Linked DNA regions of Saccharomyces cerevisiae S288C. The protein of the gene in region 1 interacts with the protein of each later gene in a pairwise test. Each region holds a gene or a part of one and is shown on either strand. Other genes may lie near its edges.

Evidence for each region. Proteins that work in one complex are often made in the same cells at the same time.
Region 2: the proteins of SPO21 (region 1) and NUD1 interact in binary tests that used the Saccharomyces cerevisiae proteins (3 or more experiments, as listed by UniProt).

Annotation. Positions count from the first base shown.
Region 1 is NC_001147.6:143,088-147,663, reverse strand, and holds SPO21 (Spo21p), read right to left. Parts: upstream 2,331-4,576; coding exon 501-2,330; downstream 1-500. Other genes in the region: mismatch repair ATPase MSH2, read right to left, coding at 1-282; YPQ1 (cationic amino acid transporter), read right to left, coding at 2,534-3,460; TRM10 (tRNA (guanine(9)-N(1))-methyltransferase), read right to left, coding at 3,968-4,576. UniProt on the Saccharomyces cerevisiae protein: Involved in the pathway that organizes the shaping and sizing of the prospore membrane (PSM) during sporulation.
Region 2 is NC_001147.6:1,035,233-1,040,221, forward strand, and holds NUD1 (Nud1p), read left to right. Parts: upstream 1-1,601; coding exon 1,602-4,157; downstream 4,158-4,989. Other genes in the region: NDD1 (Ndd1p), read right to left, coding at 1-1,239; aldehyde dehydrogenase (NADP(+)) ALD4, read left to right, coding at 4,608-4,989. UniProt on the Saccharomyces cerevisiae protein: Involved in astral microtubule organization by binding SCP72 to the outer plaque in a cell-cycle dependent manner. Required for the mitotic exit by facilitating the binding of TEMP1 to CDC15.

The sequences.
Region 1 (4,576 bases):
CAGAGTGGCAAGAACTTGTAGCGAAACAGTAACATATTTAGTTGGTTCATGGAAGTTCTTTGCCGTTACAGGGTCCAATTGGCAGTTCTTTAAAACAGATTGAGTATGATAGACTGAATCTGCCACAAATATCGCATCTGAACCTATAACTGTGTAATAGTCGCCTTTATCCACTAATCTAATGGTTTTTAATGGTTTCTTCGGCAACCCTGTATACTTCTTATAGAAGTTTCTCTCCTCTGATACATCAGAGAATTTTAGCTCTGGCCTAGTGGAGGACATACTTTTAATCTGAGGATTTTGATGTTAGGTCAGCAGATAAAGAGATTTTTTACAGTTGATATTGGAGTAGAGTGTCAACATTTAAAGAGCCTCTTTTTATTTTCAGTATATTATAAAAACGCCTAAAAAAAAAATGACAAGTTTTCGCGTTTTCTATTTTTTCATATATGTATATATAGAATATTAAGGATTATAAAAGAATGTGTAGCTGTTGAGGTTCACTTGATGGAGTGCGGAACTTGTCTTTGGCTTTGTTTATACGGAGTGCTGGAGTTCTGATTGGATTTTTGGTCAGTTTGCCTACTTTTCTTGTAATAATTAATAAAGCACTTGTAAATGACGTCTATAATTTTCTTCGTCACAAGTTCTTGATAGAAATAAAGTAACTTTTCCTCAAACTCTACACATTTTAATTCTAATCTTTTCGAGTACTCCGCTGGAGGCTCGTCAGAAGAAGACACATGGTTCGAAAGTGAATTATTCATGTTGAGTAGCTCCTTAATTAAGCTTTCAGTTTCAATAATAGTATCACTTGGCAGTAAGAACCGATAACATGTCAGAATATTAGATACAAGGAGTAGAGAATATGAACCATGACATTCAATCAACAGTATTTCCTTTTTCAACAAATTTCTCTCATTTCTCAAATCTAAAACTTTTTTCCTTTCATTTTTGAACGAATTTTGTAAATTCTTATTGGTATTTGATATATTTTCGATGTTTTTTTTGTATTTCAAACATATTTCTTTTAATTCATTGCATTCAAAAGTTAAGTTTTCTCCCAGGGCCTCTCTTTTTTTCGTAGAGGTATTCAATTCAGTGATGCTATCAGCTAATTTTGCATATTTTTCTTTAAATAAAGAGAACTTGAAGTTGGTAGCATTAACCTCATTTTGTAGTTCATTGACACTTTTCTTCAAAAACTCGTTTTGATCAATGATTAATTGCTGTTCTCTATTGACCCTATCTAAGGTTTCCCTAGTATATTTGTATTTTTTTAGTAATTCCTCATCGTGATTGTATGACTCATTGTCTAGTTCTTTGAAAGCCTCTTTTATTTTCTTATTTTCCAGAGAGACCTCCTTGTATTTAGTTTTGTAGGCCTTGTTTGTTGTTTCTAACTTCAAAATTTTGTCATTTTGACTTTTTAATTGCGCTTCTTTTTCTTTAAGTTTAGAGGCATAGTCTGTTATCTTTGTTCTTCTAGCGCTGGAATTCTTCTTCACTAGTTGATACATTTCTTGCATTAATTGAAAAACAGGAATATCACTGAAATCATCGTATTTATAACCAATTTCTTTAAAAATTGCTTTTATTACGTGTGAAACTTCACCATTTGGATCGAAATGCAAGTCTTCGTTTACAAATGGTGATGTCATCTGTTGCGAGTCGTATTGCTTTTGCATATCGCTCATTATAGCGGTTGCTTGCGTATCGACATTGTATTGGCTCATAATCGATGCGGTGTTAATGTTGGAGCTCCCTTTACTTTGAGGAATTTCTTTGTTATGCCTAAAGTGATTGTTATTCTGCAATAAAATATCATTTTCATTTCCTTTTATAGAGTTATAAGAAGATGATGATGAAGAAGAAGAGCACGTTGTCTGAGATGTTGTAGAAGAACGTGCTAACATGGCAACATTATTTTTTGATCTCTGACTTCCAGTTGAATCTAATTTTAATTCTTTCACACTATTCGAACGACTCAAGCCTGCAGATGGAAGGCTGTTACCACAGATAGAAGAGTAATCATTTTTATAACTGTTGCCATCGTCACTACTTTTCATTGAAACGAGGCTCTGGTTACTTTTCATGGAACCTATACTCCGGCTGCTTTTGGAAGCTGGAGATTTGGAAAGTTTAAAAAACTCTTTCATCCACTTTCTCTTCGAAATTTTACTGTTTTCCAGACCACTTGTGTCGCCGTCCTTATGTGTATCGGTATCTTGTTCATGATTTGAGATACAACTAGAGTCTTCAGAACTACGCGAGGTAACTGTCATTGTTGAAGTCCCTTCCATATTTGATGCCTTTAAAATATTATCCATACTGGTAGCAGAAAGCTTTAATAGATCTTTAATAGATCTTTAATATGCCTTTAGTAATCACGGGTTTTTTCCTATTTAAATGAAATTTTATAATACATTTAATTTTTCTTTTTGTGACATTAAAAAAATGTCAATGACAGAGAGAAAAAAAAAAAAAGTTTGTGAGGTCAAAAATATGTTAAATAAATATTAGATAGAACATGTTAATTCAGTATAAATTTTTTATTTCTTTTGTAAATGAAAAACTGGGAAAATATGACGAAATCCATGAATAAAGTACCTATGCTTCCAACCAACCAGGAAGCATTCATAATTAGATACTTCCAGTCTAAAGAAATGACAATCACAGAGAAAATAAATGTGGTATTACCCAAACAGGCGAACAAAAAGAATAGGAAACTGATACCTTCACAAGACTTTCTCTTAAAATTCAGTAATATCTGAGGAATTCTTGAACCCAGATACAAAAGGGCACTTAAGTAACCGAATATCTGAGCCATCCAATTGATCTGCAGTTCGGGAACAGGCAGTGATGGATCCTCCACGGGAGGAGGTTGCGTGTAGTTTACGCAGTAGGTTACATACCACGAGATGAAACCTACAAAAACTACACCACTAACAATAAATATGTCTTTTATCAAATTTCTTGAATTGACTTCACGGAGATTATCATCACCAGCGTTTCCGTCGGATGAAGGAGCAGCCATTTCTTCATCAATACGATTTGGCTGACCTTGGGAATTCAAAAGCGGTTGTTGTTCATTGAACACATCGTGCAGAACGTTTTCGTTTATTGGATTGGCAGGGGAGAGATGAATAGGGTCTACTGCTGGTTTTTCCTCATTATCGTACCATAGACATTGACCTAGTAAAATGATATCTGCCACCGTATAGTAAGCAGCAAGAATGATCATGGTAGACAAAAGATGTTGCATAACGGCACCCATAAGGTTAAAGACATCGCCGGCCAACCAAAGTACCACGAACAATAAAGACAGCCCATCAGACGACTTCCGGTAAAAGTTCTCGTAAATTTGAGGGACAAACACAATGATCCAGCAGGAGATGGAGATGGACCCAGATATCCCACTTAGAGTGGATCTATTCAATTCTAGCGGCACAAGTTGCATAATTGAGGTCGTCGAGCGATGTGGTAGCTTTTTTTTTGTATGGCATTCTTTCGTTAGCAGTACATATCATCGCGAAGACGATTAAAGTACGTAGTGAATAAAAAGACGATATGTGAAAAATTGCAATCCGGGTAAAAATAAAAGAGTCATTAAGAGCAAAAATGACCATATTAGAGAATTTACAGGTAAAACACATACAACATCAAAGCAAAATAAGCAAAGAGAAATAAGAAGTATCCTCCCACGGCCCTACATTAGATTTGGACCTCTCGGACACTAAGATTGGTGTTGTTAATATTAAAAAGGGAATGCCATTTAGATTTCGAGTGGAGCCAGTTTCGGCGGCTAATGTCCAAGTACTATGATAAGCATAAACACCCTTTGAAGAACTACTACCAGTTGCGCATGTTTAACCCGTATCTCTGACATCAATATACACCTATTGTAGCTACGGAGACTATTACTATTTTGCTATTCAGTTACTAATAATACTACAGTGATGGCTGCCTATGTGTCCTTTGGAGCTGGCGAAGAGCTTGCGGATTTTGCTTCCGCATCCAGCTTTCTGGGTGGTAAAACGCTTTCAAAGGCATTTTTCCAGTTATGGTCATCAAAGTATTTCAGCATGAGTTGCACGACGTGCGTTGTCGTCAACACTCTTCTGCCTTCGAGATTGATGTACTCGTCAATGGGCAATCTTCGCGTAGGAATGCCCATCTTTTGGGCCTTCTTCAGACACAATTCTTTATAACGATTCTTGTCTACAATGCCGCCAACAATGTATCGCATCCCGGGTTCCAGCTTCTCCAGCTTTTCCTCTGTATCGGCCGTTAAATACACTATTTTGTCCTTACTTATATGCTCATCTCCAAACATGATTTTGTCGTCTGGTAGGAATTTAAAATGGTTCCAGTTTTCATAATTGGTATTTTTCAGAGTAGTTTCAAACCTTTGCTTTAGTCTTTTGTCGAATGGGGCCACCTTTATTTCTGCAAAATGGTTCGCCCTTCTATTCGCGGAGTATGCCCTGGTGACCTGGTTAGACAAGCTTACTATTTCCTTGTCGTTCATTAACTCATCAAAAGAACAGTCAAGTATGATCTCTATCCCAGAATC
Region 2 (4,989 bases), 890 kb from region 1:
ATTTGGTGTTGGTGATAAAGGTAATCTTGTCAACCCCAAATCAAACAATTGGTCATCCACATTGGAATCCAGAATGTTATCTGATCTCGAAGCTAACAAGGGAATTCTAGAGTTATCCAATTTGGAGATAGATTTAGTTATTGATGAATTTAATTGGATGGTAGTCGGTGAAGAGCCGTATATGTCCTGTTTATTTTCGTTGTCCTTAGTTAGTGTGCTAGTGCTATTGATGGTATCCTGGGGGGTTTTAATAAATAATTTTTTATTGTTAGATCTTAGCGGCGTTCTCTGTAAGATGTTGTTGGCATTTTCCAGCCCTATGGATGTTGCATTAGTGGTAATATCCTTTCTTGCCTTCTGAAAATCCACTAACGCGCTGTTAGACGATATCAATGCTTTTGCATAAGGTGTACCGACGTCATTCAGAATTTTTCTTCCATATGGTGTCAACGACAGGGAGGAGAACCTTTTTGATGGAGATGTCGGCAGCGGTTGATTGAACATGAGATTCATGTCAATCTTACTCAGAGGAGTGCGTGAAAATGCGCCGGTGCATGAAGATGAGGGTGTTTTTCCATTACTCTTCAAAAGATTGTTCAAATCGACATTGCTAAAAACATTCTGTTGTTGACCTGGGTTCTCTGTGGTGCTTTGCTGAGCACCGTTAGAATCTGTTACAAATCGAAGTGGTGTCTTTGCCGGAGTTTTGTGAAAGAAATTGAAATTGGTGGACGGAGAGTCCAACAAAAATTCTTTGAATTGCTCTGGGGATGCAACCAAAAATTCGCTGGGTAAAGAGTTGCCGAACTGCAAAACAGAAGAAGGTTGAACGTTGATATCGTCCAAAGTCTCACTTGTATCTGTCCTTGTGACAGCAGGAGGTACAAGTGAACCTAGAGCTTGCTGTTGTTGTTGTTGTTGTTGTTGTTGTTGTTGTTGCTGTTGTATCTGCTGATGATGCGGTAATATACTGTTCTCTACCAACGACGATTCGTTGCTCGAACTGTTGTGAGCGTCTGTATTGGCAAAATGATCTTGAGTCTGTTGATACTGATTAGAAGAATAGGGCGTGGGGAATTGAGTCGTTGTAGGTAACGGACTGTTAAAATTATATTTGAATTCTGACATTACCTTCAAAAAATTTGTATCTGCATTATTGTCCGTAGAGGGCTGTCTTGAGGAAGTTGCAGTTGCCCCAGTTGAGGTATAATTTTGCTGGTAGCTTATATCTCTGTCCATAGTTGGAATCAATGCTCTATTCTGACCAATTTATTCCAATTTGGACACTTTTTCCACCCACAATGCCGATGCCAAATATTCAGAAGATCCTTGCAGCTCCTTAAGGCTCTGTCCTATTTGTTTTGTTTTGTTCTTGTTTTGTTGTTTTTTTTTTTTGCGTCCCGTTTCTTTTCGCGAGGAGGGTTACGCCAAACGCCAAAAGGCTTATGCGGGTAGTGACCTAAACTTGTTTACTGGAATGCTATTAACGATGCACAACAGATAATGAATAAATACAGATGAGTATCTAGGATGCCAGAAGTGTTCAACAATATTCAGGTGAAAAAATTGCCGACTAGGTTGAATAGTAAAAGCATACCGAAATGGATATGGATACGCAGGAGGCAGAACTATCGAGCCAGCTGGAGAATCTTACAATAAATTCACCACGAAAGCTACGCTCGAACGCGCACAGTAACAGTGGTAAAGTGTTTAAGGAATATGAAAGTAACCACGATTTTCAAGATTCAAATTTTACTTCCCAAGTTGTGGAACCTGCAATATCCGATTCTGTCAAAAAACCTCCTACAATGACAGTTTTGAACAACTATAGCACGGTGCATCAGAAAGTGCCGTCAGGTTTTTCAGGCACGACTGCTACATCTCATCAAGAAGCTCAATGGAAGCAGTATTTCCCTGGTATTGGTAGCGGCGGTGGTACCAACTTTGGTGGCGCTGTTGGTACTGCAAACAAAGTTCCTGAATCGGATCTCATTGTGAGCGACTTGGTTAAGGATTTATCTGGAGTTCTTGAAACAAATACATTTAAAAGACATTTAGATATGAAGAATAAAACTACTACTATGCAGACCCATGAAAACCATGATACGATTAGTATTTCACATTCTAAAGATTTCTTTAACGCTGAGAAGGTCTCATCGTCGTTTTCTGATGACAGCGATTCTGGCCCAGCAGCTGAGGCACATGATGTATTTGATGGCATATTACAAAAGCAAAAATCGAATTATTTGGTGGGTTCTTATCCAAGTAATAGCAACAACAAAAACAATAATAATAATAATAATAATAATAATAATAATAGTATTAATATTAATAATAAGGATAACGCTAGAACGAAGGAGGAGGACGAAGAGGACACTTCCAATTCTTTTGAATTTTCATCATCGTCATCCATGTCGTCCTCTCAAACTCAATCAGGCAGAAAATCAAAAGTTCTCAAGAAACCTCCATTGAACACTATTTCACCCGGTCAATTGGGATATCAGTTTAACCATACACACGGCGCATGGGATCCGCCGCTGAACCAGGGCTTAGATGTGTCGAGTTCACATTCTCTGGACAATACATCTTCCAACCAGTCCCAGTTCGCCACAATGGTACCAACTGGAGATAATCACACTAACGGTAAGGCACCTTCAATTCTAGATAAGAAGGCGTATGAATTAACCAGTACCAAACCAGGTGATGTTGGCTACCGCCAAAAGAAAATACAAGAAGAAGAAAATCTAGCAAATAGCGATGACACGCCCCTAGACACACCAAAATTTAATGACCTTTTTACGAAAAATGGCACTAGAGCGAAGGTTAAAGGACAAATGCGTACCTCTCGTTCAATCTCTAATTCCAATCTACTAGAAGCTCACAAGAAACTAAAGACCTTCCCCGCTGAACGGGTTGAAGATATTACGTCCATTTCCGAAGTAAACACCTCGTTCAACGAAACTGAAAAGCAGCTAATATCAATCTTGACTAGTAAACTATCTGGTTCTCCAAGCTATGATTCCGATTGGGAAAAAATCCTGAAAGTTGACCTATCAAGGGGCAAACTGAAGAATATGTTTGGCATGCAAAGACTACTACCGAATGTATTAGTGCTAAACCTTAGTGACAATGAAATGAACACTCTAGAAGGTATACCCTCGAACGTTGTACAGCTATTTTGTTCAAACAACAAAATAACGAGCGCACATTGTTCATTAGCCGGATTCCACGATCTGGAATGCCTCGACTTATCGTACAACCTCTTGAATACAAGTTTAAAATTTTTGTCACTTTGTCATCACCTGCAAGAGGTGAACCTTTCTTACAACTCCATCCAATCCTTAGAAGGGATAGGATCCTCCAGGATGAAAAAACTGAACCTTTCTAACAACGAGATTAATGGTATCATCGATTTCGAACAATTGATACTAACAAACAACTCTGTCGTGGGCGGCTGGTTGACCGTGGAAGTCTTAGATCTAAGCAACAATAACATAATTGGCGTAAGAAACATCAATTGCTTGCCCCGCCTGAAGGTTTTAAACCTCAATGGTAACCCGCTAGTTTCCATCGTGGAATCTTCTAAGATGGAGAACGGAACGTTGAGAGCGCTTTCCATCAAAAATACAGGAGGCGCGCTATCCAAATTACAAAATTACAAGTTGGATGATCAATTCACGTTCCCCTACCAAAATCTAAAGATTCTAAAACTGGACGGCTTCGCTCAACTTAGCAAATGGCAAAAATGGCCTGCCACTTTGCAAATTCTGGAGATCAACGGCGGCCTGGCCTCCTCTTTGCCGCGATTCTCTTCTCTAAAATCCACCAACTTATATTCTCTAACTATAGCTAATGTTAGAGACTTCACACACTTACCAGTGGACCTCTCCAAGGAACTACCGTTCTTGCAAGAGCTACATCTGCCAGGCAACAACCTACAAAACGCACACAAGTTAACAAAAACTCTCCCACGCCAATCAGTAAAATTTCTTGATCTACGAAATAACCCAATCACGACACCACGCCACGATCGCGCCAGCACGAGCTTGCATTACCGGCAGTTGCTCCAGCTTGCTGGCCTCTGCCAGCAGCAATGTCCCGCCCTGGCGACCCTCTGGTTAGATGACACTCCTGCCCCAACTGCCACGAATCTGTAACCCCATAACTATACCCGTACGCAGTACTAAAAATGTATGTAATTAGTAAATGTATGTAACAATTTCACCGTTTTGTGTAACAATTCATTCATTCATTCTTTTGATCCTTTAGTACCGTCCGCACATGATGTCATTTCCCCCTCATTTTTGTTTGCTGGTATGATTCCCCGCCCGGGCGACGGTACGGCTGTTATCCAGCGATGCGGGACTTCCGTCCACAGGTATCTTTTTCTCCAACTCCAACAGAGATGGAAAATGAGGGGCGGGTGTAGGTAAGCAGAATGAGGAGAAATTTGTAATGAAAATGGAAGTTCGGCGGTTATATAAATGGGGGGGGTTTGTCGGTGACAATTGACTTCACTCTCCTTTCCTCAAAAATTCTTGGGTGTTAGGATTAGAAGTATCTGGAAAACCAACCAAGAAAACTACAATAACAAAAATAAATAAAGCATGTTCAGTAGATCTACGCTCTGCTTAAAGACGTCTGCATCCTCCATTGGGAGACTTCAATTGAGATATTTCTCACACCTTCCTATGACAGTGCCTATCAAGCTGCCCAATGGGTTGGAATATGAGCAACCAACGGGGTTGTTCATCAACAACAAGTTTGTTCCTTCTAAACAGAACAAGACCTTCGAAGTCATTAACCCTTCCACGGAAGAAGAAATATGTCATATTTATGAAGGTAGAGAGGACGATGTGGAAGAGGCCGTGCAGGCCGCCGACCGTGCCTTCTCTAATGGGTCTTGGAACGGTATCGACCCTATTGACAGGGGTAAGGCTTTGTACAGGTTAGCCGAATTAATTGAACAGGACAAGGATGTCATTGCTT